Linked DNA regions of Cricetulus griseus. The protein of the gene in region 1 interacts with the protein of each later gene in a pairwise test. Links are inferred from orthologs where the notes say so. Each region holds a gene or a part of one and is shown in the gene's direction. Other genes may lie near its edges.

What was found.
Region 2: the proteins of Mkrn2 (region 1) and Rack1 interact in binary tests that used the Homo sapiens proteins (3 or more experiments, as listed by UniProt). The two-hybrid records come from large-scale screens. The link is inferred for Cricetulus griseus from reciprocal best matches to the Homo sapiens genes MKRN2 and RACK1.

What each region holds. Positions count from the first base shown.
Region 1 is NC_048601.1:29,228,430-29,244,054, reverse strand, and holds part of Mkrn2 (probable E3 ubiquitin-protein ligase makorin-2), read left to right. Parts: intron 1-8,703; coding exon 8,704-8,832; intron 8,833-9,781; coding exon 9,782-9,963; intron 9,964-10,920; coding exon 10,921-11,228; intron 11,229-13,344; coding exon 13,345-13,559; intron 13,560-14,602; coding exon 14,603-14,713; intron 14,714-15,625. UniProt on the Homo sapiens protein: E3 ubiquitin ligase catalyzing the covalent attachment of ubiquitin moieties onto substrate proteins.
Region 2 is NC_048600.1:63,450,580-63,466,304, forward strand, and holds Rack1 (receptor of activated protein C kinase 1), read left to right. Parts: upstream 1-7,972; 5' UTR 7,973-8,094; coding exon 8,095-8,203; intron 8,204-8,478; exon of another isoform or gene 8,479-8,546; intron 8,547-9,203; coding exon 9,204-9,375; intron 9,376-9,624; exon of another isoform or gene 9,625-9,704; intron 9,705-9,859; coding exon 9,860-10,007; intron 10,008-10,440; exon of another isoform or gene 10,441-10,508; intron 10,509-10,686; coding exon 10,687-10,782; intron 10,783-11,098; coding exon 11,099-11,209; intron 11,210-11,644; coding exon 11,645-11,785; intron 11,786-12,661; coding exon 12,662-12,772; intron 12,773-13,228; coding exon 13,229-13,294; 3' UTR 13,295-13,340; downstream 13,341-15,725. Other genes in the region: E3 ubiquitin-protein ligase TRIM41, read right to left, coding at 14,823-15,424. UniProt on the Homo sapiens protein: Scaffolding protein involved in the recruitment, assembly and/or regulation of a variety of signaling molecules. Interacts with a wide variety of proteins and plays a role in many cellular processes.

The sequences.
Region 1 (15,625 bases):
GCAGCGGCGGCTTGCAGAGGGCGAGCGAGGCGGGATTGCGGGAACCCCGGCTGGTCGCATTCCTCATCCGGAGCGGAAACCCAGACCGCCGAGAGAGGCTAAAGCGAGACCCCTTTAGGAGCAGAAAGACGGCAGTAGTGGCTGGCTTGTTAGGCGAAATGGAGAACCAGAAAGCTGCCCTGTGACTGCTATTTTGAAGTAAAAAATAGTAGTTGGGTTGAATAGCAACGTCGAAACTCGGTTACTGGGGTTTAGTCCTGTGGATTTGCATGCTTGGGAAGTGCAGCTTGTGAGCATCCCGAATGTAAAAATCCAAATTTCGAAATGCTTCAGAATCCCAAACTTTTTGAGTTGCCGGCATGGTGCGACGAGTGGAAATTTCACAGCATGAAATTTTGTTATATTGAAATACAAAGTTATCTCGGAGATATTGTACAATTTTTTTTCAGGATATGTATATAAGCGTATATGAAGTGATGAGTTCTGTGTTTACACTTTTGTGCCATCCCCAAAACATGTACATGAAAATACTCTAAAGTACAAAACATTCAAGACACTCCCCAGACCAAGCATTTTGGATAGAAGAGCCTCAGCTTATACAAGTTTCAGTTGGTTTTTGTAAATTAAGAAACAGATGTAGTTTGGTTATGTGATAAGCATTTCATCTAATACCTTGTTGCTTCTCATTAGGGCGGGTACCTGATGCCTTTATGAAGAGTTCGTTTCGAATTCGATATAAGGGTTGAGCCAAGTACCCAGGGCCCAGGTGGCTTATGTTAAGTAGTTACCAGAAAAATTGCAGTTAGTGTCTGTGTGTTTTGTGTTTACTTGACACAAGTCAGAGTCATTTGGGAAGAGGGAACCTCAATTGAGAAAATGCTCCTATCATACTAGCCTGTGGTTCATTTTTCTTTTCTTTTTTTTTTTTTTTTTTTTTTTTTCAAGGCAAGGTTTCTCTGTGGCTTTGGAGGCTGTCCTGGAACTAGCTCTTGTAGACCAGGCTGGTCTCGAACTCACAGAGATCCTCCTGCCTCTGCCTCCCGAGTGCTGGGATTAAAGGCGTGTGCCACCAACAAACCCCCGGCTCATTTTCTTGATTGATGTGGGACGGCCAAGCTCCCTGTGGGTGGTGCCGCCTCTGGATTAGTGGTCCTACCTCTGGATTAGTGGTCCTGGGTGTTGTAAGAAAGGCTGAGCAAGGCGGGGCTGTGGTGTTGTGTGATGCTGTGTTGGCTGTACCTGACAAGACATCTTAATAAAGGAAGGGTTTATCCAAGATGAAGAGGGAGTCGTTGATAGGAGCTTGAGAGAGTTGATCACATCACACCTAGAGAGCAATGACGGTTGGTGCTCAGCTCACTTTTTCCTTTTTATTCAGTGTTGACTCCAGTCTAAGGAATGATACTACCATGTTCATGATGGGTCTTCCCACCTCAGTTGACTTAATCTACAAAATCCCTCACTGACATGGCCAGGGACTTGTCTCTTTAGGCATTGCAATCAGTGGCAACTATCACAGTCCTGATCTATCAGCTGGTCATCTTCCTCAGTGAGACAACCTCAGGACTGTCAGGGTTTCCCTAAGCTTAGCTTCAGAGTGGCACAAGTCTATTGCTAACATTGATTCTCATGACTTATGCCCACCACTACCCCGCTAAACTGTGAGTCTTAATTTCACGTATGTGGAGATCACAAAACACTTTTAAAAATACTGTGTCTGGAAGGGTGCAAGTGAGCCTGGGTGCGTGCATGCATGTGTGAATGCCATGCAGTGGTTTATGTGTGAAAGTCAAAGTACAGCCTACAAGGATGGGTCCTGCCGTGGTGGCAAGAGGAGATGGAATTCAGGCCCAGCAAGCATTTTCCCTCTGAGCCGTCTCACTGGCCCAGTGAAAGGTTTCTGAACATGCATGACGATAACTCAGAGTCAAAATGTGATGGATCCAAGGTGTTTCTTCTGTGCCACAGAGCTTGCTGCTCCTTGATGCTAAGCACAGGGTACACCAGGCGCTGTGCATGCCTTCATGCTACCCACTGCTCCAGTCAGTTCAGATTCTAGACTGTTATATTTTATGAGTTGCAGGGTGTGTGTGTGTCTGTCTGTCTGTCTGTCTGCCTTGCAGAGACATAGTGATTTAATTATGGAAAACAAAGTCTTTTCATATTTCCCTATCCATACCTCAGCAAGCATACAAGTACCAAATTAGCGTATCTTTGGATTGTGTTAAGTAGATTTTATTTCAAAAATTGCCATGTTTCATAAATTATTAGCTGAGTTTTGGTTTGGCATTAGCACAGGACTCCCAACAATGTCTGAAATGGCCCTATACACAACTTGGCTGTTGTGTACCACATATTTATGAGAAGCAGTGTTCTCAGTCCTGACGACTTTAAAAACCTAACATTAAATAACCTTCATTCTATAGTATCTAATACCACAGGGAGCTGGGAATCAGCTCACTGTCTTGCAAGCTTGTACTCGAGTTCTATCCTGAAAGCTCATGTGAAAATGCCGGGTATGGTGGCATGTTTGCTATCCCAGTGCTGGGGAGTCAGACACCCGTTTATAACCATGAGGATCTGAGTACCCACTGGCCAGCAAGTCTGGCCTACCTGGTGAGCTCCAGGCAAGTGAGAGATGCCTGTTTCAAAGGCAGTGGAGGTTCCTGAGAATGCTTTGGGTTATCGTTGTCCCAGCTCAAGTGAGAGTACACATGTGCACACAATAAATAAGTAAATGTCAAGAGGACACCTGATGTTGACCTCCAGCTACCACCTAGCAAGCTTCTCATGTCCATGCATCCACACACAAAGAGATGCTGCCATGGTGTGCTATCAGGCAATCCTGAATCTTAGACTGCAAATTACTTTGTGTTTGGAAAGAGTTGGAGAAGCAGCTTTGTAAAGAGAGACAACTGAAGCCCTGCAGGAACCCTGACTGACTCTCTTGAGGTTGGCCTTGGCTACATGGATGATTAGGACAGGCTGGGGTCTGTAGTGAACCATGTTTACATTGCCTGAAAGTCTTCGGAGTGACCCTCAGAAGGAACCTCCCCATTCTGAGGGTTAACCCCTCACTTCATCGTCCCCTCCAGTCCATACCTAACCCTCTTTTAGGGGGCTGGTCAACAGTTTCAGCTGCTGAGATGCCCAGGTTAAGCTCAGATGAGCGTGACCCAGAGAACAGGCAGGGTGTGCTCAGGTTGTATCTGTTACTGGTGACAGCACATAGAGAAGGCTGGGCTGGCTTCACTTCTGACATAGACTCCACTCACTAGCTTTCCTGGAAGCAGTGATTGTCACTTGTGAGTCTGCTTACAGTTCACCTCAGTTACTTGGAGCAGTGAAATGACTTGCATGGACTACAGCAGATAAGGGTCCGAATTAGCTGGAAGTTGTGGTTAATTGTATTGTTATTTTTATAAGATTTTATTTATTTATTTATTATGTATACAACATTCTGCTTCCATGTATATCTGCACACCAGAAGAGGGTACCAGGTCTCATAACGGATGGTTGTGAGCCACCATGTGGTTGCTGGGAATTGAACTCAGGACCTCTGGAAGAGCAGTCAGTGCCATCTCTCCAGCCCCTAATTGTATTGTTATTATTACTGTTATTATTGTATTGTTATTGTTACTGTGCATGTATATGTATATGATGCATATGATGTGCATGATTGGCACGTGTGTGTGTCATGGCTAATGTGTAGACGTCAGAGGACAGCTTTGTGGGGTCAGTTCCCTTCTTCTACCTTTACATGGTGTCCTGTTTTGCTTTCTGTTGCTGTGATAAACACCAAGACCAAAACCAAACTGGAGTGGAAAGGGTTTATTTGGCCTACACTTCCACATTACAATTCATCACTGAGGGAAGTCGGCAGGAACCTGGAGGCAAGAACTGATGCAGAGGTCTTGGAGGATGCTGCTTACTGGCTTGGTACCCATGACTTACTTGCTCAGCATGCTTCCTTATCTAGCTCCGGTCCACCTGCACAAAGTTGGCATCACCCACAGTGGGTTGGGCATTTCTACATAAATCATCAATCAAGAAAATACCTTACAAACATACTTACACGTCTATCTGATGGGAGCTATTCCTGATTGGTGTTCCAGCTTCCCAGATTACTTTAGGTTATGTCAATTGATAATGACTAACCAGCACAGGTGGACTCAGGAACTTAACACTGCAGTCGGGAAGGCTGGTTGCCCAGTGGCTTGGGAAGGTAGCAGTCAGATGAAAAAAACTCATGTGACATTGCACTGTAGCCAGTCCGCTATCAACTGTCCGGTGGAACAGGAGACCCTTGGTCATCGTCTGCTTAAGGTAATCTCTGGTCTTTTTTTCCAGAAGACTATCAAGTGTTCCTTAGCTCCCCAGGCTTATAGTTGTTTGGAGACAGGCTCTGACTGTCTTGTGGAGCTCACCATGTAGACAAGGCTGGCCTTGAACTCAAGGAGATCTACCTTCTCCCTCCCAAGTGCTGGGATAAAGGCGTGTGCCATCATACCTGGCCTTGTGTTTTTGTAGCCATTGTAAGCTTTCCCGCCACCATGTGTTGGAGCTTACCAGTCCTCATCTTCATTTCAGGCTTTTGGGTACCAGGTTGTTTTTGTGCCTTCAGAGTCCCAATTTATTGATTGGATGATTACAATATATTAGTCATTTTGTCTTGTTTTGTTTTCTTGAGACTGAGTCTCCTTTCTATGACCCAAGCTACTTGCAGTCCCCACCTCAGCCTGAGTGCTGGGTTACAGGTGTGTCCTGCTTCACTGCAGTCTTGGTGGCATCTCTCAAAGGCTCACCAAACTTGGTGTGATGGTATGCCTGTACTTTCAGCCACTTGATCTGAGGCAGGGAAGTTATTAGAATCACTTAAGTTCAGGGTCACCTGAGGCAATATATATAAAAACTTGGTCTCAGAAAATAAGAAGAAGTACCCAACAAGAAGATATATGGGATATCTTCTTGTCTGGGGGAGTCCCAGGATTAACCACCCTCACACCTGGAGACTGGCTAGAGTCATGGTGTTCAGCATATAGCTAGACTCTAGACCGAGGCTGTTACACTGGCTTAGCAAGATACACAGCCAGGTAGAGAGAGCAGGAGTTCAGAGGGCTGCTTCTACCCCTGTAGAAGCACTTTTCCTCCCCAGAGGTACCAGGTAGGGGTGCAGGGGGGCAGTGCAGCTTCTGCCTGTGACTCACCTTCCAGTCCCAAGAGGAAGTGGGCTTTGTGTGAATCACACCATGGTACAGTTGAGGCACAGTGGGAAACTGTCAGTGTAGGGACTGTGACTATACCAGCAGCTTTAGAAGCCAAAGGCTGTTCCTAGGCCAGCTCAGAGGTTATCAGTCTCAGAGCTGCTGTGGTGACTGACTCCTTTCCATGGCCTTACTTGCTCTCTCTGCCCCATCCCTGCCTGCTAAGAATGGAGTCCAGGGCCTCTGAATGGCACCCCATGAGCTTCGTCTTCAGTCCTCCATTCTTTCCCTTCCTTTTCTTTCATTTTCTTTTCTTTTCCAGTCAGCCTTCTAGCAAGTTACCGAACAGTGTCTGACTTGGGAGGTGTTTCCTGGGAAATCTGGGTAGCTTCCTAGAAAGTCCAGAGCCATGGCAGCTTTCAATTTCTGATCGTGAGATTGCTGTCCCTTTCATCAGATGGGGGGTAGGGGTAAGTGGGCCTGGCTAACTCTCGAGCTTTCTCCATAAGCTGGAATAAGGATTTTCAGCAGCCTGCCAGCCCCGCCACGAATTGGGCACTGTTCTCTGGTTCAGTGGAATGTGAACAGGCTCTACCCTAAAGTCCACTTCCACAGGGTTCTTTACCAAAAGGGAGGGGTGCAGGCCAGTAGCAACACAGCTGGCTGTAGTTCAGGATCAAATCTGCTGGTCCACTTTGGCTGATGAGGGAAATTTCTTGTGTGTGTATTTTCCTTTTTTCTACAAAGTGTTGTATGTAGCCAGTCTGTCATTTAGCTGTGGCAGTTCTCCTCTTCAGCATCTCAAGTGCTTGGCTTATGTGTTCTTAAGTAAATTTTAACATTTCTTTTCCAATAAAGCTGTTACAGAAACTTATTTCTGAGCCTTTTGTAAAGGATGTTTTACTTTCTTCGGGCCCCCTTCTCCCTGTGCTGTGCACATCTGAAGGCTGCTGGCCCCAGTAGGGGATGTTCTGGGGTCTCCAGAAAGCCTGGCCTGAGCAGCATGTCTCTCAGCTTCCTGGGCACCTACCTCATTTTAAGCATACTAGCAGTGTTACAGCTGACACCAAGGTCACCTGGGGAGAACTGGTAGCATGGTTCCCAGTCTGGGCTCCCAGCAGGCCTGCCAACACCTCACCACCATGCCCTTTCTTTTTGGTCCATTTCTCTCACAAAGTATGATCTTCTAGTCTCTGCTGACATGAGCTTGGGAACACTGGGGGGGGTGGGGAGGGGCCCGCTAGCTAGCGGCCTGTGTCTCCTGTCTCTGCTTTCCCAGCACTACTCAGACTGCACTTGGAAGGTTATGTCAGTGGGCCTTGGCCCTGTCCTTTATAGACCTTAATAAGAGCTGCACTCTGGGGAGCCTGAATAAAACCAAACTGAGCAGTTTACACTGCACCCGGGCGTTTACAGGCAGCATCAGCCTTTTGTTACTACAAAGGCAGTTACACAATGTGTTCACAGCAAAAGCATTGGAAAGTGCAGGTGCTGAAGTAAGGGAAATGCCACATGATGGCCTAGATTCCACCAGCCTGCTATAGGCATCACCAGCTTTTAAAGTTCTTGTCCCTTTATCCCCACCTACCTGCCACCCTCCTTTTTAACCCTTCGGTGAGTCCCCTTTATTCTAGACAGTTCAGTGCTTCCATGGATCTTAGTCTTAGCACACTAGTTTATGTTTATAATATTTTTAAACAAAATGAGATCCTGTATATGGCAACTTTTTTTTAAAGAATATTGTGTGTCCTGATTGGTTTGGTTGTTTGTTTTGGTCTCTTGTTTTTGTCAACTTAACAGAAGCTAGAGTTACATAGGAAGAGGGGTCTTGAGAATGCCTCCATCAGATTGGTCTGTGGGCAAGCCTGTTGTTGCTTCTTCTTGATTAGTAACTGATATGGAAGGGACAGTTCAGCTCACTATGGGCAGCACCACCCCTGGGCAGTAAAAGAAAGCAAGCTGAGCAAGCCAGTCAGCAGCATTCATGCCTTGAGTTTCTGTCCTGCTTTTCTTCAGTGATGGACTCTGGCCTGAGAAATAAATAAATAAATAAATAAATAAATAAATAAATAAATAATAAAGCTGGAATAAACTTTCTTCCTCATATTGCTTTGGTCATGGTGTCCATCATAAGGGAAGAAACCTTAAAAACATTGTGAGGAAGTGAATCTGATAGCATAGGCTTTGCCAGGGTGCCTGTGTCACACACAGTTCTGTGGTCCTGGTACATTCACAGTTGTGTGAGCAATCTCCTGAGCTCTCACTGTGAGAAAGAATACTGTGCTGTTCCTGTCTCCCCCTTAACTGCCAACAGTCCTCTGCTTCTGCTGTGGTGAATTTAACGTTCAAAATACCTCTGTTGTGATGACTTCTTTCGATTAGCACAATGTCCTTAAGGCTCATTCATGTAGTTTTGAGTTGGATATGTTTTCCTTTTTCAGGCTGAATAATACTCCATTATATGTACATACCACTTTTGTGGGTTTTGTTCATGAATTATTAACTCTTTGTTTTTGGGTGTTGTTTGTTTGCTTTTTACATTTTTTAAATTTTTTTAGCTGTGGAGCCTGTCCTGAAATTCTGTAAACCAGGCTGAGCCTGGAACCCACAGAGATCTGCCTGCCTCTGTCTCCCAACTGCTAGGATTAAAGGCGTGTGCCACCACCACCTGGCTCAGATTTGTCATGTAGCTAAGAATGACCTTGATTTTCTGATCCTGGCTCTCTGAGTGCAGGGCCTATAGACATATACCACCGCACCTGGTTTACTCTGTGCTGGGAATGGAAGTCGTGGCTTAACACATACTAGGCAAGCACCTTACCAGCAGAGCAAAATCCACAGCCTCCTGAGGGTGCTAGGATTTCAGGCTGCTGCCACCGTGCCCAGCGCCCCTTATGTCATGGATGCCACACTGTCTTCTTTGGGGCTCATTGCATTAGCCTCATGAAACAGTAGGTGGTGTCATCTCTACACTTAAAGTTGCAGCAGCAAGCATAGGGAAAAGGAGTTTTTCCCTGCCATTTAGTCATCTCTTTTAGCAGCTGCAGGAGAATGGGGAGAGTGGGTTTTCCTAATTATGAAACTCTTTTCTTACATATTTAACACAAATCAAGAGCTGATCCATATAGAAGGGTTTACTTGCATGTATGTCTGTCCACCACATGAATGCAGTGATCAAAGAGGCCACAGGAGGGGGCATCAGATTCCCTGAGACTGGAGTTTCATTTGGTTGTTAGCTGAAGTATGGGTGCTAGGAACAGAGGCTGGGTCCTCTACAAAAGCACCAAGTGCTCATAACCACTGAACCATTTCTTAGCCCCAACATAGAAACTTTTGAGATCTTTTTCTTCCAAAAAGCTAGTCTTAGGTTATTGTGATGAAGTTTAGAATCAAGGAAGAAGATGCAGTATGGGTGGGGCTGTGTGTGTAGTGCTGAGAGGGCTGCACCCGCGCCCCCCCCCCCCCGTGTGACTCAGCTATTCTATGCTTGTCTCCTCAGATATTTTATGCATGGCGTGTGTCGCGAAGGCAGCCAGTGCCTGTTCTCACATGACCTGGCAAACAGCAAGCCATCCACCATCTGCAAATACTACCAGAAGGGGTACTGTGCCTACGGTGCGCGCTGCAGGTAAGGGTGCCTCCATCCCCAGTGGTAGGAATACAGGTGTATGCCATATACCTGCCTGAGCATGGGTCTTGATGAGGGAGATTTTCAACTTAGAGTTGTACTTAGAGTATTAATGATTTGTGACTTGCTTTTAAACCCCATATAACACATCCTAGACTTCCCCTGCCATCAACCCATCCCCATCTCCTCATCATGTGTGGGGTGTAGGGGGTGTGGGGGGGGTGTGGGTGTGAGGTGTGTGTGTGTGGGTGGGTGTGTGGGGGGGTGGGGAAGTGTGTGTGGGGTGTGTGGGTATGGGGTGTGGGTGTGTGGTATGGGGTGTGGGTGTGTGGGGTAGGGGGGTGTGTGGGGTGTATAGGGTGTGTGGGGGTGGGGTGTGTATGGGGGTGGGGTGTGTCAAGTGGGGTGGGGAGGTGGGTGTGGGAGGTGTTTGTGTGTGGTATGTAGGTGTGGGGGTGTGTGTATGGTGTGTGTGTGTCATAAGGTGGTATGCCATTTATTTTAAAGCTATTTCCAGTTCATGCTTGAGTGACTTCTGGCGGGGAGGCTAATGGCATTCATGCACACACAGCCTTGTTGCTCCAGACTGGACAACAGTGTGAGCCACTCCCTGCTTTGGAGAGCAGAGCCCATCTAGTCCTTGCTGTCTGGCAGAGCTTGAGAGTTTGAGTTAGCCATGTGCTTTTCCTCAGCCCACCTACTCACCTAGAGATTCCTACCCAAAGGGCCAGGACACTTGGTGGCATAGTGGAACACTTAGGTGTGGGTAAAGGTGATGGTGGGTATAGGTTACATGACCCCAATAGCCTTTTCTAGTTGGGAGTATAGAGACAGGCCCTTGCCCACCTCAGTCCAGCTGTTGGTCACTGGGAGGGCAGGTAGTGTGTAGGGGTGTGTGTGCAGGTGTTGGGGCCTGCGTGACCATAATACATTGTTTTGTTTTGTTCAGATATGATCATATAAAGCCCCCAGCTGCAGCAGGTGGAGCGGTAGGCCCTGCACCCCACTCTTTGCCATCCTCAGGCTTGCCCAGCCCTCAACCTTCTCCTGACATTGCCACATCTGTTGTGAAGACACATTTGCATGAACCGGGGAAGCGAGAGAAGAAGATGCTGGTGCTAAGAGACCGAAGTGAGTGACTGCAGCCTCCGCTGCCGCTGAGGAAGCAGCCTGCGGGCTTAGTGTTGCTTTCAGGCCTGCTCGCCAGGAAGCTCCTGACACCCCGGGAGCCCAGAGTTGATCTGAAAACAGGCTGCAGAGGTTCAGGGGATGCATGTCCACAGCTGGGCTGAGCTCCATTTTGAGTCCAGCAAAGCATCAGCGTGGTCTTTTGTCACCCTGAAGTTGCCTCTTATAAGGTCACCCACTGATTTTGAGGCCCCAGACTACTCATTCTGAAGCTGGGTGGGGTTTTTTGTTGTTGTTGTTGTTTTGTTTTGCTTTGTTATTGGGTTTTTTGTTTTTTGTTTTTGTTTTGTTTTTTTTTTTGAGACGGTTTCTCTATGTAACAGTCCTGACTGTCCTGGAACACACTCTGTAGACCAGGTTGGCCTGATACTCACAGAGATCCGCCTGCCTCTGCCTCCCAAGTTCTGGGATTAAAGGCGTGCGCCACCACCTACCTCCTGGCTGGGTGTTTTAATGGAGGGGGCAGGTCACATTCTCCTTGTTTGGTGCCATGTCCTGGTAGTGGCTGCTTTGGGGATCTGAGGAGCATCTTCAGACACAGGACAAGGAAGAGGTCTGGGCTGAGGCCAGGTTTGTGAGAAAGAAGTTAGCAAATGCTGTTGTGCTGCTGGACCTTGGGAAGATTTCCTGGCTCTTGGGGTTGTTCCCCTTGGGATTTCATGTCTTGGGTGGTTTTAGTATTAAATGGTCTATATATTGACATCTTTGTGTACTGTATAAAAAGACCTCATTCTCTTCTGTTGTTCTGCAGCTGCACTTGACCTCCTGGGCCATCTCCCAGCCTCTGCTCTGTTGTTCTCTGCCTGCTTTTCTCTAGCTATTCCTAATCTGGGCTAGTAGCTGACGTGAAAGATGAGCCTGTTCTCATGTCTGTTGCATTTGTGTGTATTTTGTGTTGAGATCTCACTGGCCTGGCTGAAGACAAGAGTGTCCCAAGCACAGTGAATAACCCGGGTAGCTGCAGTGATGCTCAGACCAGTCCGGAGATGAAGCCCCATTCCTACCTAGATGCCATCAGGACTGGCCTGGACGACTTGGAGGCCAGCAGCTCCTATAGCAGCAACGAGCAGCAATTATGCCCCTACGCTGCTGCTGGGGAGTGCCGGTTTGGAGATGCCTGTGTCTACCTGCATGGGGACATGTGTGAGATCTGCAGGCTTCAAGTCCTGCACCCCTTTGACCCAGAACAAAGGAAAGCTCATGAGAAGGTAACTTAAGCCTTGGCATGCACTCATTTTAAGAAACCTAAATGTACCACAGACAGAGTCTGGAGTCTCTTTCTTGTATGTCTATGAATGCCTATGTCTTGTACCTGGTATATTTTTACTCTATTTTCAAGTTCTTTTCCTGTTGCCATTTTATCAGTTTGTTTGTTTGTTTGTTTTTCTGTTTGATTCTTTTTTTGTTTAAATTAGAAACAATCTTACATATCAATCCCAGTTCCCTCTCCCTCCCCTGCCTCTCCCCCACTCCCATTTTATTAGTTTTTGATTATTTAGATCAAAGAAGAATAAGAAATACTAGAAATGCAAAGTTCAGACCTGGGAAGATGGCTCCCCAATTAAGACTACTTGCTGCTCTCACAGAGGACCAGCGTTTACTTCCTAGCACCTCCTTTAGGTAGCTCTATGCAACCTCCTATAACTCCAGCTCCAGGGGGTCTGACATCCTCTTCTTACTTCCACAAGAACCTCATGCATGTAAACACACACACACACACACACACACACACACACACTCACACTAGTAATCAAGCTTTAAGAACTGCAAAGTAGTGCTGGAGAGGTGGCTCAGTGATTAGGAGCACTGGTTGCTCTTCAAGAGGTCCCTGGTTCAATTCCCAGCACCCACATAGCAGCTCACAACTGTCTGTAACTCCAGTTCCAGGGGATCCAACACTCCTACACAGACATATGCAGGCAAAACAACAATGCACATAAAATAAAAATAAATAAATTGGGGACTGGAGAGATTGCTCAGCAGTTAAGAGCAGTGGCTGCTCTTCCAGAGGTTCTGAGGTCAATTCCCAGTAGCCACATGGTGGCTCACAACCATCTGGTGTGATCTGGTGCTCTCTTCTGGCCTGCAGGCATACATGCATGCAGAACACTATACATAATAAATAAATCTTTAAAAATAAATTTTTAAAAATATTAAATCATTTTTTAAAAAGAAACTTCAATGCATTCATTTCACAAAACATTGAGTAGATTCTTTGAGAAAACTAATGAGTAAAAGAAATGCAAAGTAAAGTAAACAGCCCCAACTCAGGCTCACCTGCAGCTGTGCCCACCTCTGTACCAGTGCATGCTCAGACTCTGGCACATCTTCTCTCCCCGGGGTTACACAGCTTGGGGTGGGATCCAGGCAGCCAATGTTTTGGAAACTTTGAAAAACCTTTATTATGAACTTCTCTTTGAATTTTATGTGTGTGCTTGCAGTGTGTGTGTATGAGCACACACGTATGAGTGCCTGTAGAGATGAGAGAAGTGTAGACTCCTCAAGCTGGAGTTATAGGCAGTTGTAAGCTGCCTGATGAGGGTACTGGGACCCAAATGCAAGTCCTTTGGAAGAGCAACAAGAGCTCTTAACTGTCTAGTTCCTTTTATCACGGACTCTTGGGAGCCAGTTGTTGAAAGGTCATGAATGTCCCTGTGTCTGCAGCCTCATTCCAGGCTGCCCTCATTCCAGGGTTATGAAGATGGGTTAGAAAAGGGAAGAAGCTCAGGGTTACAGTGTTAAGAGGCCAGGTCACCTCCTCTAAGGACTTGGTAATTATGTGGGATAAAATGGTCATGGCCTCTCCTGTGTCCAGGAGGACTGCTAATGCACATACTAGCAGACAGCATTCCTGGCAGTCCAGACACCATGGGGCAGTGGGGTAGCAAGATGTGGAACTCAGGTTTGGTCTGCTCTTTATCCACGTGCACAGAGCACTGTTGTGTGCAGCTCAGAGCAGGGGCCTGGGTCTTCTCATCTGCCTTCATTCACTTGGACTCACTTAGCTCAGTCACAGTTCTTGGCATTTCTGTATTGATGTGGCGTGGAATAGGCATGGCATCCAAAAGAACCAGAGACCTATGACCCAGTACTCATAAATGCTGCAACTCCCACAGTGATCTAAGTGCCCTAGAACTCCATGGCTGTTAAGCTGGTAGTGACCATAGCCTACTAGGGAACCTAGGACAAGGACAAGGTGGTTTGAGGTCTACTTTTTGGTCAGATCTTATGTCCTGAATTCAGGGATTGTAGGTACTGTTCTTAACAGCTATTGTGACTATGTGACTGAGCAATCCCTGGGGTCTTCCCTCCTGTCATCCTCAGATGTGTATGTCAACATTTGAACATGAGATGGAAAAGGCATTTGCCTTCCAAGCAAGCCAGGACAAAGTGTGCAGCATCTGTATGGAGGTGATCTTGGAGAAGGCATCTGCATCTGAGAGGAGGTTTGGCATTCTCTCCAGCTGTAGCCACACCTACTGCCTGTCCTGCATCCGCCAATGGAGATGCGCCAAGCAGTTTGAAAACCCGATCATAAAGTAAGTGCAGCTGGGCTTCTCTGCGGGCATGGGGGCTGCTGCCTCCTGAGCTCGGACCCCCAGCTGTGTGAGTTTGCACAAGTCATCCTTCCTGAGCCTACCTGCCTATGGCAGCCTCTCCCATCTCTCCATGTTGGGGACTTTACAGAACTGTCCGTTGTTGCTGGCTAGGTTCTGTCTTGCAGACCTTGTGAACTCGGGACAGTCATTGTGTCTGCCTTATGCTAGCTGCCTTTTTTAACCTTAATAAGGGAATTGATTCTCCCTTGATATATGGCTCCCTCCTGTGCACTTTGCTGCCTGGGGCATGTTGTTGTTGAACTTCCCTGTGTGCAGCAGCTTCACCCAGAGAGACAGAGTTCTGCAGTGTCCAGTGCTCTTCAGAGTTAGTTGCTCAGCTGACATGCAGTCTAGTTTTAGAAACTTCATCATCCCCCAAGCCTGTGCAGCCACCTGCCCATTCCTGTTGTCCTCTGTTAGGCAGCCTTCAACCTAGGTTCTTTCTCTACACATGCCTTACTGCTGGTCATTGTGTATAGCCTTTGCCTTAGCAAATGTTCTGAGGAGCATGCTGTATGGGTGAAGAGTGCTCTGGCTGAGAACAGCTTGTAACCTGCTCACCCGCTAGTGGGCATTCACACAAATCTAGACCCCAGGAGTGTCACAGCAGTTTGGCCTCCAGCTGAAGCTGTCTCCTCCTCTTACCTGCAGATAAGATTCCAGTTCCTTCACATCCTCCCCAACACTTGCCTTTATTTCTAATCTCAGCTGTCCCGGGAGTAAAGTGTATTTTATGTCATCTTGCCTGCCGTAGTCACTGAAGATAATGAGCATCGTTTTGTATGCTTACTTGCTGTCCTGGATGAATGGTCAGGTCTCTGTCTCTTACTGAGTTGAACCTTTTCAGCAGCACAAGCTGCTCTTAGAGAATGTGATTGTGTCTCTGGCCATGCATTTGAGCAAGGGGTTTCAGAGTGGAATGTGCAAAGGATTCATGATATATTTTCTCCCTTACAAACCTGATTTGTTTGTTTGTTCTTCAGGTCTTGTCCAGAGTGTCGTGTGATATCAGAGTTTGTAATTCCAAGTGTGTACTGGGTAGAAGATCAGAATAAAAAGAATGAATTGATTGAAGCTTTCAAACAGGGGATGGGGTAAGTGCCTTGATTTCAGAGGGGACTCTGGTGCCTGCCTGGCTGGGTGTGGTTTGAGCCTGTGTCATATGGACCTGGTGGATGGATCTGAGAGCTTCTTGCTCCTGTCAGGCACTTTGCTGGGCTCCGGGCTGCAGAGCTGAGCGAAGCCTTTTTGAGTTCTAAGATGAACCCTGGAAACTGGTGCTGAGGTTGTGAATGCTTGTCATGACACTTAACACATTCTGTCACCTAGTCTAGCCTCAACCTTCTGCCTCAGCCACCCTAGTGTTAGGATTACAGGCATGTACAACCAAACCTAGCATCTTTTTAAAAGAAATAGTTTTCTAGGAGTTTCTCACAGAATATTCCTATTGCCTTATTTCTGTCCCTTGTCATCCTATCATTGGTACTATGAGTAATATGTGTTATATTTATTACAAAACCCACAAGGCAACACCTGCTTGTGTTACCCAACAAGTACTACCATCAAAGGCTTACACCACCATGCCTGGCCAAAATTCACTTTTTTTCTTAAGTTTTATTGTTTATTTGTTTGTTTTTTTCCCCCTGTTGTTTTGGAAGTTTTTATATTTATCTAGTTACTGTAGCTTAATATTTACCCATTTTACCTTCTTTTCCCCTCCTGTCATACAATTGTCCATCCACAAGAGGGCAGATGCAGCAAGACAACTGCCTGGGCTCACAAAGGTGCTGTGCTGGTTAGAAGTCACCTCAGTCTGTTGATCTTGCCTGGCTGTGTCCCTTTGGTACATGTTCTTGAGCAGTCTTCAGAACATGAGCTTCTGCCAAGCGCCAACAGCAGAGAGATGAGTGAGACCATCTCTCATCATAGTGTGACAGGGCAGTGTGGTGGCAGATTTCCTCATTAATGACCTAAGCCAGAACAGAGAAAGCATTTGGTCTGTCTAC
Region 2 (15,725 bases), on another chromosome or scaffold:
TTTGCTTTTTGAGAAATGGTCTCTTAGTATAGTCCTAGCTGCCCTGGAACTTCATAGATAGACCAGGCTGGCCTTGAATTCAAAGAGTCTGACTACCTCAGCCTCCTGAGTGCTGAGATTAAAGACATATATCATCATACTCAGGTGAATTTCTTTCTTTTGAGTTTTTTCTCTTTTTATTTTACTTTTTTTTTTTTTTTTTTTTTTAGCGGGGGTTCAAGACAGGGTTTCTCTGTATTGCTTTGGAGCCTGTCCTGGAACTTGCTCTGTAGACCAGATTGGCCTCGAACTCAGAGAACCCCCTGCTTCTGCCTCCAGAGTGATGGGATTAAAGGTGTGTACCACCACCATCCAGTTTTTTGTTGTTTTTTTTTTTTTTAGATGGAGTGTGTGTGTGTGTGTGTGTGTGTGTGTGTGTGTGTGTGTGTGTGTGTGGCCTTGGCTGTCCTGGAACTTGCTCTGTAGAACTGGCCTTGAACTCAGAGATCTGCTTGCCTCTGCCTCCTGAGTGCTGAGAGGTGTGTGCCACCACTACCCAGCTTTTTCCTATTTTTTTTTTAATTTTCATTAGTGTTTTGCCAGCATGTAAGTTATGTGAGGGTTTCAGATCTTGGGGTTACAGTTGTTACCTGACATGTCGTTGTTGCAAACTGAACTGGGTCCTCTGGAAGAACAGTCAGTGCTCTTCTTATAAGTGTCTAGCCCTTTATGTGTATTCGTCTGTATCTATGTGAATGTATATCTTGTGTGTGTGGGTCCTCTTGGAGCTGTAGTTACAGAAGGCGAGCCACCAGACAAAGGTGCTAAGAACTGAACTGGGGTCTTCTGCAAGAGCAGCATGTGCTCTTCATCACTGAGCCATCTCTTCAACCATGAGTAGGTGTGTGTGTGTGTTATTTCTTACTCAGGCTCCTTGATCTCAATATGTATCTAGAGAAAACCTTTATATCGTAGTCCTGTTGTTGCCACCTCCCAAGTTTCACTTGTATTCTTTACTCAATATACATGTTGGAAATGCTTGCTGTCTATTGTGTGTGTCAGGTGTGTAGAAAATGTTGTGCAGAGCTGGGCGTTGGTGGCACACGCCTTTAATCCCAGCACTCGGGAGGCAGAGGCAGGCGGATCTCTGTGAGTTTGAGGCCAGCCTGGTCTCCAGAGCGAGTGCCAGGATAGGCTCCAAAGCTACACAGAGAAACCCTGTCTGGAAAAGCCAAAAAAAAAAAAATGTTGTGCAGAATGCCCTTGTTCTCTGCAACTTAATAGTTTAGCTCAAGCCCAGAAATATAGAGAAAGGGCTTCAGAATGTGTTGAAGGCTCCCCTAGGGTAGCCTGCCAAACTGTTTCAGCTTGCTCCTCTCTACTGTGGCTGCACCACGGACCCCATCTTCACACAGATTTCCTAGTATCTAAAATCCTCAACTCCTTAGCTCCAAGGCTTCTAGTATATTGAAACACACCACAGTAAGAGTCACTCTGCAGCTTCATAGAGCCCATTCATTCTGTATTGTTCCCTTCCCAACTTATTAGACACTTGCTAGCATTATATCTTATGTGACTGAGCCTGGACACCACAGGCATGAAGAGCTGGTCCACACTTGAACTAGATTAAAGATTCTCAAGCTCAGAATTGATACTTTGAACAAGATAATTCTTTGGGGTTGAGGAGCTGTTCTGTGTGTTGTCAGATACTGAATGTCTCAAGATTCCAGTTAACAGGGTAACACTTGCCCCCTCCACCAGTTATAACAGCATCAAATGACTCCAGAAACTGCAAAATGTCACCTGTGGGAAAACTCAAAAATCATCCCCATAGACCTAGATAGTTGGATTAGCAGTTAAGAGCACTGGCTGCTCTTCAAAAAAAAAAGAAAAGGAAAGGAAAAAACAAAACAAACAAACAAACAAAAAAAAAAACAGGCCGGGAGGTGGTGGCACATGCCTTTAATAACAGCACTCGGGAGGCAGAGGCAGGCAGATCTCTGTGAGTTCGAGACCAGCCTGGTCTACAAGATCTAGTTCCAGGACAGCCTCCAAAGCCACAGAGAAACACTGTCTCCAAAACAAAACAAAACAAAACACAAAAAAACAAAACCAAAAAAAAAAAAAAACAAAAAAACAAAAAACCCAACCAGGTTCTATTCCCAGCACCCACATGACTGCTCACAACCCTCTGTACCACCAGTTCCAAGGGGATCCCACACCCTCTTCTGGTCTCTTTGGGCATTGCATACACATTACATAGACATCACAACACCCATCACATTAAAAAAAAAATTGTTTGAATATCCAATTGAGAACCACTAGTGTAAATGCAAGCCCTGTAGACTTAGTAGTGTAGACTGAGGCCCCATAGCCAGAACATGCATTGGTGTTCAGCAATGCTCAGTGGAAGGACAACCTGGTCTAGTCAGAACCCTACTAACGGTATCCATGGCATCTGTGTATTGATGGATATATTGCCCCAATTCTCCAGGTCTCAGAGTGGAGGCAGCAGGATCCCCTCAATAGTTTTTAAATGTTAGAGCAGTTATGTCATGTCCAGCTGAGAAAACAAGGGCCATCACAGACAAAGCAGGTACAAAATCAAGATCTTGGGGGCTGGAGAGATGGCTCAGATGCTAAGAGCACTGACTGGTCTTCCACAGGTCCTGAGTTCAATTCCCAGCAACCACATACACAACCATCCATTATGAGATCTGGTGCCCTCTTCTGGTGTGCAGATATACATGGAAGCAGCATGTTGTATACATAATAAATAAAATCTTAAAATTAAAAAAAAAAACGAGATCTTGGAACTAAGAAATAAAAGAAAGCTGCAATAGGGCAACGGTTTTGTTTAGATTTTATGAAGAATCACAAGTCCAGAGTCTCTTTGCTCTTAACCTAAAGAGACTAGGTGGTGGCATATGTCTTTAATCCTAGCACTCAGAGGCAAAGGCAGGTGGATCTCTGTGAGTTTTGAGGCCAGCCTGGTCTATACAGTGAGTTCCAGGACAGCCAGGGAACACAGAAATCCTGTCTTGAAAAAACAAAAACAAGAGAGAGAGAGAGACCAGACTGACTGAGAGACAGACAAACTATTATCAGAACAAAATTCTGATTTTCTGAATTTCTGTCTAAATTCTCAAAGCCAAGACTCTACATAATGATCCCTTATCTCGAACACCCTTCTTTTGCCATTTAAAAGTAAGTCTGTGAGGCAGACCACGAAGATTAGAAGCTTCTACAGTCCAAGTCCTCAATATGGTGCTGAAATATAAAACGTGGGCAGAAACGGACCAGCCCTATCCAGGACACTCAAAAGGGACGTTCTTTATGGCTATGAGAGCACCAAAGGACCTGACCTTGACTTGAGGGTCACGGAGCACTTCCCAGCAACCTCAGCTGAGATCCAAGGAAGTTTAGTTTTAGTTATGAGAGGGGAGGGGAGGCTATGGAGGGCCTGCTAGGCAGAAAAGTAATGTATAAAGACTTGTGTGGAAGAAAATGAAGAGTAGGAGAAGCAGAAGAAGACCCATGAGACCACACAAGGGCCTGACAAAACCAGTCACCATGAATTTGCATTGCCTAGAGCCCAGAGAAGGCTGACTGATTCTCACCACACACATGTTTATCTACAAAGAGACCCCACCTCCAGAGTACTGAATGCTGGCAAGAGTGGGTAGAACCTAAGGTCACAGAGCTACACACAGCTTAAAAAGCTAGCTCTCTGTATACTAGGTGGGTCCTGAGGGCTTCTACAAAACAGAGACCAACTTTCTCAGAAGCCTTTCCAGTTTCCTAAGGGATAATTCCCTTAGGAATGGAAGCAGTTCATGAGGACATGAGAGAAGGCATAGCACTGAAGCTGTGTAGTGACACACAGCTGAACTTCAGGAAAAGAACAGTGGGCACAGCCAGGAAAGGTTCTGTAGGGGACAGTGTAAGCCACGCCTGCTAGAAGCTGGCTACAGGTGTGCTTGACCACGCCTGTCAGGGCGTGGTCAAGGTGAGGTCAGGATGATGAGTTTTAAGGCAGATGGGAACCCCTTCTCTCTGGCCTGCCTGCCTTGCTGCCCTTGGCACGCTCTGGCTTGCGTTTGGCTGGTGTTTTTCTAATAAAGGTTATCTTTATCCCAAGCTCCTTTTATTTCTCAATCAATAGGGTTCTGCCAACCTGGTATGGGCCAACCCGGAATCTTTTCCCAAAGGCCAAATTGGGGGATGGGGGGTGGGGGGTTGGGGGTGTCCAATACTCTTCTCATCTCTACAAGACTAGAGGAATGACAAGGGAGTAAGAAAGGAGCCAGAAGTCACTCATTCCCAAGATTTGCCAACTTATTTTAGGAGTGTGGCTGATACTCAAGCGTCCCGTGGCTGAGGGGTGGCTCTGAGAGCAGGAGCTGAGAACCTTTGCAGACCAAGAGTCAAATGTACTGATCCTTCCCCCAGAAGTAAACAGGAGCATTTGATGATGCCACAAGGGAGCTTCAGAAAACAAGTGATGAAGGGATGCTCAACTCCAGTGGGTGAGGAGCAGGCAAGGCAGCTCCTCTGCCAGCTAGGCCCATACCCCAAGCTACACTTCAAGAAATGCCCACTATTACAAGGCACTGACCCTCTAGGTTCTATTGTCCCCCAGAGGCCATAATGGCCTGCACATATCCTCTTTGGTTCCTGTGAAGGAACTAAAGGAAGACTAGCAAAGGAAACCCTAGTCCTTCAGAGTCCGGTTGTGCATGGGGTCTACCACATTACTTTTCTCCCTGTTTTATGGTTGGCATCACCATCTTAGCCAAGCTGAGGTCCAAAACAACTTTTAAATTCTCCCTGTAGGGGTCTAACAAGCAAAGGAGGATGAAAGCAGCTTCAGGTCACAAGTCTCAGTCCGGGTCTCACAATCCTAGGAAAGAAGGTGGTACCTGAGGGTGGCAGAGATAGAGCAAGGTAGTGGTAGGCAGGGACTCTGTGAAAGGCAGAGTCTCTGTGGGCAAGGCTGCCCCACACACACCCCGCCCCCAACCTCCAGTTCCTGGGAAAAGGATCTGCAGCAGTCCCATCCATCTCAGGCATCCCAGGAAGGTCTGGGAAGCATTCATTTTAAACTTAGACTTCCAGGCTAGCTCAGAAATGCTGATTCTTTTGGACGTCCTAGGGAGAGATCAAGAAAAAAAACAGGTAACAGGGCTTGGTGGAGCAGGCCTCTGATTTTAGTAGTAGGATGGTAAAGGTCAGCCAGAGAGCTGCACAGTGACACCCTATCTTGGGAAGGGGATGAAGAGAGGAAAAGAGGGCGGTAAGGGAGGAAGAGGAAAAAAAGAAAGGAAGCAAAGGGTCTGGGCCAGGCATTGGTGGCCCACACCTTTAATCCCAGCACTGGGGAGGCAGAGGCAGGCAGATTTCAGTGAGTTCGAGGCCAGCCTGTTGTACAAAATGAGTTCCAGGATAGCCAGGACTGTTACGCAGAGAAACCTGATCTTTATTTTTTAAATATCCCCCCCCCGCTTTTTTTTTAAGATTTTATTTATTTATTATGTATACAACTTTCTGCTTCCATGTATATCTGCACACAAGAAGAGGGTACCAGATCTCATTAAAGATAGTTGTAAGCTACTATGTGATTGCTGTGAATTGAACTCAGGACCTCTGGAAGAGCAGACAGTGCTCTTAACCCTTGAGCCATCTCTCCAGCCCCCTAAGAAACCCTGTCTTGAAAAGGAAAGAAAAAAGAAAGAAAGGAAGGGAGAGGGAGAGAGAGAGAGAGAGAGAGAGAGAGAGAGGGAGGGAGGGAGGGAGGGAGGGAGGGAGGAGAGGGAGGAAGGAAGGAAGGAAGGAAGGAAGGAAGGAGTATGAGATGTAGCTCACTGGCAGCATGCTTGTCTAGCAAGACAGTCTAGATTCAATCCCCAAGACCAGAGGAAAAAGAGAATGACTTTTTTTTCCAAAGGGAAATAAATGTCAGTTCATCGAAAGGAAGCTAGAATGTGGGTGTAGTGATTCACCTTTCTATTTACGAAAAGCAGTACAGAGACACAGAAAGGTGCTAGCATGACCCACCTAAAGGGCAGCAAACTGATTATGGGGTGAGTAAGGACAGGTGACTTCCAGGACCACCACAGAAACAAAACAATAGAAAATGAAAGTCATTCAGTTGGGTTTACCAAGGACACAGGTGATATATAACCTTAGGGTCCTAAAAAGACACTCATCAGGCTGTAAAGGAACACATCTAGGACAGCACCCTGTGTAGTCCAGAGAGTCGGGAAGGAGCGGGGGGGGGGGGGGGGGGGGGGGGGGGGGGGGGGGGGGGGGGGGGGGCGGGGGCCTGCAAGAGGCCCAGAAAGCAAGTGGCCTTAAGTGAGAAGCCCTAGTCTTTGCACAGCTGGGCAACCACAGGGTGCAGCAGCCTTGCCACTATACTCGCCTAACATGTTCCTTTCCAAATGCCTTCAATGTACCTTGCTCAGCGCTTACCCTAATCTAGCAGGTTCTGTGCCAACTCTCACTGTTCAGCCCTCATATACCAGTCAAGAACCTTTGCAATAGAACATGATCACAGGAGATTGCTTTCGCATCTGCCTATGTCTTTACTCCAAACTTCACTTTTTTTATTTTTGGTTTTTGGAGACAGGGTTTCTCTGTGTAACATTCTTAGCTGCCCAGGAAATCACTCTGTAGGATAGGCTGGCCTCAAACTCATTGAGATCCGCCTGCCTCTGCCTCCCGAGTGCTGGGATTAAAGACATGCGCCACCACCACCCAGCTCCCTACTTCACTCTTAACCACATTGCCTTACTCTACCACAAGATGTAAATTATTGCAAACAAAATGGCCATCTGGCTTTTTCTTTCTTTCTTCTGTTCATAGCTGTATCCTAAAGCCTAAAACAGCAGTTCAGCAACAGAACTAAAATAAATAAATGTGACCTTTAGTTCATAGATGTTAGTGGTTGCTACCATCCTAACTGGTGGTCCTTTTTAAAAATATTTAAACTGGAGAGATGGCTAAGAGGTTGAAAGCACTGGCTGTTGTTCTTCAAGAGGTCCAGAGTTCAATTCCCAGCAACCACAAGGTGGCTCACTACCATCCATAACGAGATTTGCTCTCTTCTGGCGTGCAGGAACATATGCAGGCAGAACACTATATGGATAAATAAATTTAAAAATTAAAAAAAAAATAGGCGGGCTGGGCGTTGGTGGCGCACGCCTTTAATCCCAGCACTAGGGAGGCAGAGGCAGGCGGATCTCTTGGAATTCGAGACCAGCCTGGTCTACAGAGTGAGTTCCAGGATAGGCTCCAAAGCCACAGAGAAACCCTGTCTCGAAACCCAATTCCCCCCCAAAAAAACCAAACAAACGAAAAAAAAAAGTTGTAAAATTTAAGGAGAGATCTGTGACATCGGAGGGCCACTGCAAACTTAAGTGTTGAGATTAAGGTCATCAGGTTACCAAATTATCAGTGTTCCTCCGCTTCCCTGTCCAGCCACTTCTTTCAGGGCTACACAAGACAAACTAGCAGGCTTTTCTGTGGAATGGTCAGAGTCACAGAAAGGGATTCCAATAAAAATCCCTTAAAACAAAAGGGCCAGATTGGACGGCACACGCCTTTAATTGCAACTTCAAATATACTTCCTTAGGTCATAGCTTAAATCGGAGTCGCCAACCCAGGAACCGGAACACCAAGCGAAAAGGGCGGGGCGCCGTCTCTGCCACGTAGCCGGGGAGGGAGGAGCCGCTGCAGTATGGCGATGAGCCGGTCGTCTTACTTTTCCTTCCTGAACACGTACTAATCTGCCGAGGAGCCTTTATTAAAACCCAGTAAAGCTTACTTAAGAACGCATTTGTTCAGCAGTCGCCAAATTATGTTCCGTGGCAGAAGAAACGGCGACATTGCGACTTACCGCGCCCAGCCCCTCCCACTACCTGGTGACGCCATCTTTGAGCAGCAGGGAATCATGGGAACCCCCGCCTTGCTCTCCGGGTATTTCCGGTTCCGCCGGAGGCCGCTCTTTCTTTTTCTCCGCGGCGTCGCTGTGGCTGCCGCTGTGGTGCTTGGCTCTCTGAGCTATCCGGTGCCATCCTTGTCGCTGCGGCGACACTCGTATCAGCTGCAGCCATGACGGAGCAGATGACCCTTCGTGGGACCCTCAAAGGCCATAACGGCTGGGTAACACAGATCGCCACCACCCCGCAGTTCCCAGACATGATTCTGTCTGCGTCTCGAGGTACGGGCTGCATGCCGGGCGAAATAGCGCGTTTCCCGGGGACTGCGCGTCTCCTGGCTTCGCAGGTGGCGCGTGGGTTGGCTGGCTTGGTCCATTCCCCCACCCAGTTATGAGTTGGGGCGTGCAGACCCGAACCTGGGCCCCAACTAGGGCGACCCTTTGCACATGGACGGAAACCGAGAGGTGTCGCATAACTCCCATAAGATTAGGTGACTAAATCTCTTCGTCTGTCTTCTCGAGATATATTTAAGTAGTTAGGGAGCTACAAGCCAGGCGGAGCAATGATGACCCCAACATGCCATCTGAGCTACTTTGCTGAAATCCAGAGGCTGTTTCTGAGCTGCCGTCTGGCCCTGAGCTCTGAGCAGTGCGTAAACTAAGGCTTTTTATTTTTCCTCATGACTTATCTTTATCATGATTTGCCCACCCAGGTCTCCCTATCTGCCCAAATTTATGTTCATTCTCGTGTGAAGCTTATCAGGCACTTTATTCGTTTCTGTATGGTTTGACATGGTGCATGGCTAGGACTGTCTTATTCTACCATAGCTACTGCATTTCTAGTCAACCCTTAAAGGCACAAAAGGTGGTCTGCTTATCCCACACCCAAGTGACTTTGCTACTTTTGAGTTAGCCTTGTGCTGGAGTGATGATAGATAAAACTGGCTCCTCAAGGGGACTAGGTAAGGTTTGTTTCCCAGAACCCACATGGTGACTTGCAATTGTAGGTAGTTACAGGGAATCTGACACCCTCTTCTAAAAACAACATGGGCACACATGGAGGGGAAACATTCAACACAAATTAATCTTGGGTTGGATTTGAGTTTCAATCCCAGCAAGTGTGGTACCCCATAGTCTCGGGTGTGCCTTACATCTTTTCAGTTCCTCTCACTGAATGTAGTGATGCTCCCCTTGTTATTACACCAGTAACCGTAAAGCACTGTAAATTATGCCCAGTATATAGGTGTGGGTGCCTATGTAATTTCTTCCCCAACCTTTTCAGACAAGACCATCATCATGTGGAAGCTAACCAGGGACGAGACCAACTATGGCATACCACAGCGTGCGCTTCGAGGTCACTCCCATTTTGTCAGTGATGTCGTTATCTCCTCTGATGGCCAGTTTGCCCTCTCAGGCTCCTGGGATGGAACACTGCGCCTCTGGGATCTCACAACGCAAGTAGCTGCTTTGGGACCTTGGGGGAGAGCTGGGCAAAATTGAGGTAGATTCCCGAGGGTGTGGTCTCCCTCGGAAATTGGTTTTTTTATGGAGGGTGGGGTAAGATGTTGGTGTTGACCTCTTTGAGGAGGGAGCTAGAGGGCTGTCGTGTAGTTGGAGCGTTTTTACCGGGTACCGCCAGCTGTTAAAATAAGTGTTTCATCTTGAAAGCTGTCCTAGATGAGCATTTGGCAGGTGTAATAGAGGATCCTAGTGATGACAAGAAGACATTGTCAACCAATCCCCACAAGGGAATGAGGACATGTCCTGCAATTCTGAATGGGTTCTCTGGCACATACCAAGAATGGGCTAATAATAGAACAAAGCCACATATAAGCTGTGTGGAGTGATAGAGCCTACTGGAGCAGCAATGTAGCCAAGAAAAGGGTCTGACTAAAAGGATAAGATTTGTCTAGAAAGTGACCAGGTTCTCCCATTTAGGGGCACCACCACGAGACGATTTGTAGGCCATACTAAGGATGTACTGAGTGTAGCCTTCTCCTCCGACAACCGGCAGATTGTGTCTGGATCTCGAGACAAGACCATAAAGTTATGGAATACTCTCGGTGTCTGCAAATACACTGTCCAGGTAAAGTGATGGAGGTAAAGGCTACAAGTTAGAGGTTATCTCCCAGCCCTTGGGGATTTTGTTGCAGTTTTGAGATGGTTCATTACTATGTAACCCTGCTTAGACTAGAACTTTGGTCTGCTTATTGCATGCTGGGATCAAAGCTGTGTGCCACCATCTAGCTCTTTTGTAATGTGTGGCATTTGTCTGGGATTTGGTTGGTTTTTACTATATATTTAATGCATTCTTGCTCATGAGTGGCTTGGGACTTGGGAGTTGATTTTTCTTCTGAGTTGGGGCATGGAACCCTAGGCCAAGGCATCTATTGGGCAGGCCCTTACACATGAGCAAATACCCAGATGTGTCCCATAACTTCCCTAAGGGTTAGGGGGTTTTAAAATCTCTACCTACCTCCTGGAAGTATGTTTAAGTACTTGGGGGCTACAAGCCAGGCAGAGCAGTGATGACTCCAACATGCCATCTGAGGTGCAGTGCTGAAATCCAGAGGCTGTTTCTGAGCTGTGCCTGGCACTGTGCTCCATGAGGAGGCATCCTAGGACTCAAATATGAATCAGCAGGCTTGACAAATGACTTTACCAACTGTTCTGTTGATCCAGAAGTATAGGTTTGCCAGAGAGTGCTGTTGCCCCACTTAGGGTAGTTATCTGTAGTCCTCTTACTTACCTTGCATCTTCTGTAGGATGAGAGTCATTCAGAATGGGTGTCTTGTGTCCGCTTCTCCCCGAACAGTAGCAACCCTATCATCGTCTCCTGTGGATGGGACAAGCTGGTCAAGGTGAGCTTCAACAATGGCCTGGCCCCATTAGAAATCTAAAAATGTTCCCATTCCTCTGAGATGGTAATCACTCCGGTTTGGAATGTTTTGCAAATTAAATTACCTTGGCTTTGGCTCTTGATGCTTTATCTAAGTTCATTAGGGATTGAGTTTGTTTTTGAGGCCAGATCTCACTCTGTATCTCTGATAGGCCTGTGTCAGCCACTCAAATATTGGGATTACATGCGCTTGCATAAAAACCTGTTATGAGTTACCTTTAAGGAAGATGCTATTCTTTCTTGTGGCCATAATCCTGGTCACTCACCTTTTTCCCTAGGTATGGAACTTGGCTAACTGCAAGCTGAAGACCAACCACATTGGCCACACTGGCTATCTGAACACAGTGACAGTCTCTCCAGATGGATCCCTCTGTGCTTCTGGAGGCAAGGTATTTAGGGGACCTCTGATCTTTATTTATGGAGAACACTTTCATCTGATAGCATGTACCAGTTAAAAGATGAGCTTAAAATGTGGGAATGTTTCTAAGGATTATCATAAAATATATAGAAAGGCATACCAAAGAAATTTTCCTTTAAAACTAAGTTGGTAGCTGAATAGATGGCTCTGGGATTAAGAGCACTGACTGTTCTCCCAGAGGTCCTGAGTTCAATTCCTAACAACTACATGGTGGCTCAAGACCATCTAATAAGATCTAGTGTCCTCTTCTGGATTAGGGCTACACACAGGCAAAACACACTGTATACATAAATAAAAGTAAGTTGATATACGTATTATACATTACAGGGAAGGTCTTAGGACCATGAACGCTGACACTTCAACCATTAGCTTTATCTATCCTAACTCACCATTTATGTCCGTCCAGGATGGCCAGGCTATGCTGTGGGATCTCAATGAAGGCAAGCACCTTTACACACTAGATGGTGGGGACATCATCAATGCCTTGTGCTTCAGCCCCAACCGCTACTGGCTCTGTGCTGCCACAGGCCCCAGTATCAAGATTTGGGTAAGTGATCTGTTGTGCACCACATTGATTTCAAGCTTTATTGGTAGATTCATCATTCAGCTGCTGTCAGTTGACAAGTTGGGATTATTTTTTCTTAACACTTAGCAGCACTGGGCAACATTTGACTAATAAAAGGGAATGCCCATATTTGGCAATTTGTTGAGTCATTTGGGCCAAAGTAATTCTCCTTTGAGAGGCTATTTTGTCAGCATATGTGGTATCTACTCACTAGATGACCATTAACAGTTACAGCCACACACCATGAAAGATAAGCAAAAATAATCCCAGTAGTGTGTAGCAGGTAGTAGAGCACTTAGCTAATGCATGAGAGGCATAAATCAAATCCCTACCACATGTGCCACTAGTATCAACTAAAAGACTGGGGATTCTATGTGGTATTTTTATGTTTTGGACAGTGTGTAACCCAGGCTGACCTTACATTTATGAGGAGTCATCTTGACTAAGTTACATGGTCAGATCTAGAACTTGGCAGTCTGCCTCAGCCTTCCAAGTAGCTCCAATTGTATAACTAAACCACTGGCCCTCTAAATGATTGTGGGTTGCTAGGGTGGGGGTTGATATTTCATATGTCCTTGAAAGAAAAAATAATCTGGAAATCTGAATTAGAAATAGGCTTTCCAAGTAGTTCATTACTGTCTGTGGTACAGGATAACTGGCCCATAGCCAGGGAATTCTGTCTCCTCCATAGTTTGAGGAATAAACTGTTTTAGGTGTCAAGCAAAGGCCCTTTAATTTGCCATCTTAAGGTCTCCATTTAAAAAAAAAAAAGCTATGGTATGACAACATACTACAGACCATAAAAGTCCATTGCATAATTGTTATGGGCATCCTTACCTGATTTTGGTTTGTTTTCAGGATTTGGAGGGCAAGATCATTGTAGATGAATTGAAGCAGGAAGTTATCAGCACCAGCAGCAAGGCAGAGCCACCCCAGTGTACCTCCCTGGCATGGTCTGCTGATGGCCAGGTAAGTACTTGATTCTGCCAACTCAGCTTCCAGCTTACTCTTCATATCACGGGCATAAGACTAATATATTAGCAGGGCAGTGGTGGCGCACACCTTTAATCCCAGCACTCGTGAGGCAGAGGCAGGAGGATCTCTGTGAGTTCAAGGCCAGCCTGGTCTACAGAGCTAGTTCCAGGACAGCCTCCAAAGCCATAGAGAAACCCTGTCTCGAAAAAAAACAAACAAACAAAAAGACTATTATATTAACAAATGAAATGATAAAGGGTGACTAGTTACAGAAAATACTATAATCTATCTGGGGAATGATTCATGATTTGGACCTCTAGAAGAGGCTTCAAAAGTATAGCAAGCTGTTTCTTCTGGGAATGTGTGCTGAGCATGTCTTAGACAAGTTCTTTGTTTGGGGGCCATACAATTCATTGTTGGGCATGACCCTGTTGCCATTCTCTTTTACAGACTCTGTTTGCCGGTTACACAGACAACCTGGTTCGAGTGTGGCAAGTGACTATTGGCACCCGCTAAAAGTTTATGACAGAGTCTTAGAAATAAAGTGGCTTTCTGAAATCTTTTCAGTTATGGTTTGTCTAGTGAGCAAGTTCCTAACTTGCCCGCCTACCCACCCTTCTCCCATTTGTTGTGTTTTGCTTGCATACATGTCTATGCCAGGGAATATTAGGGTGATGGGAAACTTTGGGACATTCAACATGGCACTGTCTGTCCTAAACTCAGGCCCACCTATGTTTGCCTTCCTCAATGGTGTATCTATCCTTCTTGGTTGCACTTCATTCTAGCAATAGCAGCAGAATAGTTTTTTCCAAGGCAGGGTTTCTCTGCCCAGTTTGAATTTAGCCCCATCTACTTGGATCTACGTATAACATTTAGTCCTTACTAAGTAAGCTACATGAATAAGGACCTCCCATTCCTCACTGAAACAGGAAACCCTAGGAATGCATAAAGAACCAGAAATTCAGGGTTGATTGTATGCTCCTGACAGCTAAGAAGCAGTTCCAGGGCTTCTATGGGAAAGTACTTCATGAAGCAAAATTGCTGCTTCAAAAGAAAGACTCCACAACAGCAGCAAATAAACACTTTATTATCTGCAACACAACCCACCTTTTACCCCAAGAACATGAATTGACCTCAGCCACAAGCAGAGGACAAAAGCTGTTAGGTGACAGAAGGCAAGGGGTTACTAGAAAAATAGATTATACCCAAGGCTCTCCCAAGGATCCAGACCCCTGTCCCAAGCTCCTTAACAGGGCTTACCAAATGGAACTACAAGGTGCTGAGAGGCCAGAAACTGAAATTCACTGAGGGGAAAAGAGCCTGGCAGTGAAGACTTGGAGGGGTTAGGTGTGAGGAGCTGGGCTCCTAAATAAAAACTGTACGACAGAGAGAAAATAATTTATTGGGTGATATAATGGTGTGCAGTGTCACGTTGACCATTCCAGATCTTACTGAAGCTAAATTCTGGCCAGTCTATGGAGGTAGAAATTGGGGGCGGAAGGAAAGCTTTAAGAGTTCCTACTTCCCCAAGAAAAGTAGACTTTACACAGCTCTACCCTTTTGCCCAGCCTGCCTCCCCACAAAAGCTTCCAAATCCCTTAACTGGAGCTTGCACCAAAGCATGGAATTGGAATGGGTAGGTCTTGCCCGAACCCTCCAGCCTCAGAAATGACAAAGACTGAAGAGTAGATGTGGAAAAGAGAAGTTAAGGAACAAAACTTCCACTCATCCCTGCACTCAAACTGGGACTCAGAGCTGGACTGAGCTAGGCAGACAGGGAGGGAAGATCAGGCAGCTGTTCTTATTATCAGGGACCCATGCAGACCTGTCAGACAAAGTAGGTGAGAGAAGACTGAGCTGGAGGAAGTCTAGAAGTTGTTTTAGGCTCCTATTGGGGGAAGCAGCCTGGGTTCAAGGAGGAGCAGAAAGCAACTCAGTAACAAACAGTGGGAGGAGCCTGAGCTCACAAACATAGTGGGCAATCATCCACCACCACCCGCCCCCCCAGCAGTGACTGGAGGGGCCCCTGCGGGTGGCAGGCTGATCAAGGGCAGAGCTTGATGCGGGTGCCCTTGGAAAGCACCCGAAAGAATGGGAAGACACGCTCGCCAAGGAAGGCAGCTGAGAAGGTGTGGACGTGGGCTAGGGTATCCGCATTATAGAACCCTAGGCGCCCAGCCTCATAGTCCAGGTACACGCCAAATCGCCGTGGTTTCTCACATGGGCTCAGCAGTGTCTGCTCTGTTGAGCTCTGTGCCTGGTATCGTTTGCCGTGAGTACCCACACACCACACTTCCCGCTGGAGCAGAAGCTGCTGAGGCAGGTGGAGCCGGCGGCGGCGATGGTGATGGCGTGAGGAGCTGGCGTCCCCACTGCTAACAGAGGACCCCCCAGAGCTCACTTTTTCTTTATGATGGGTTGATTCACGGGCAGCACCCACTGCCCAGCCCCGCCGCCCGCCCACCTCTACCTCCCAGTAGTGCCGGCCAGAACGGAAGCCTTGGGCCCCTAGTACACAGCAGTCAGCTGAAAAGCGCTTGGAATGTTCAGGAACCTCCTGCCGACGTTCTGCCAGCCGGACCCCACGACGATCAGGGGACAGCATAAGGGCTGGGTGAGCTGTGTCAGGGTCCAGCGTCAGATCGACTTGGAAAGAGGAAAGATGAATATAGCAGAGCTAAAACACCTTATCCCTCACAGGCTCATCTCTATAATCCCCTCCAATCCCATTCAACTCTTTAAGCTCTCAGCCCATATTGGGGGCCAAGCTCCGGATCTATGGGTTCTAACATTCATCCTAATTCTACCACCTGCCAGCCTTCCCCTGTCGCTTTTTGTGCACCTCACCTACCAAAAACAGCTGGGCCACCATAGAAACAACTCTTGGCTTGAACCCTCAGAGTAGCCACCAGTAGTCTACTCCATCCCAGCTACCCAAACTTCCCTC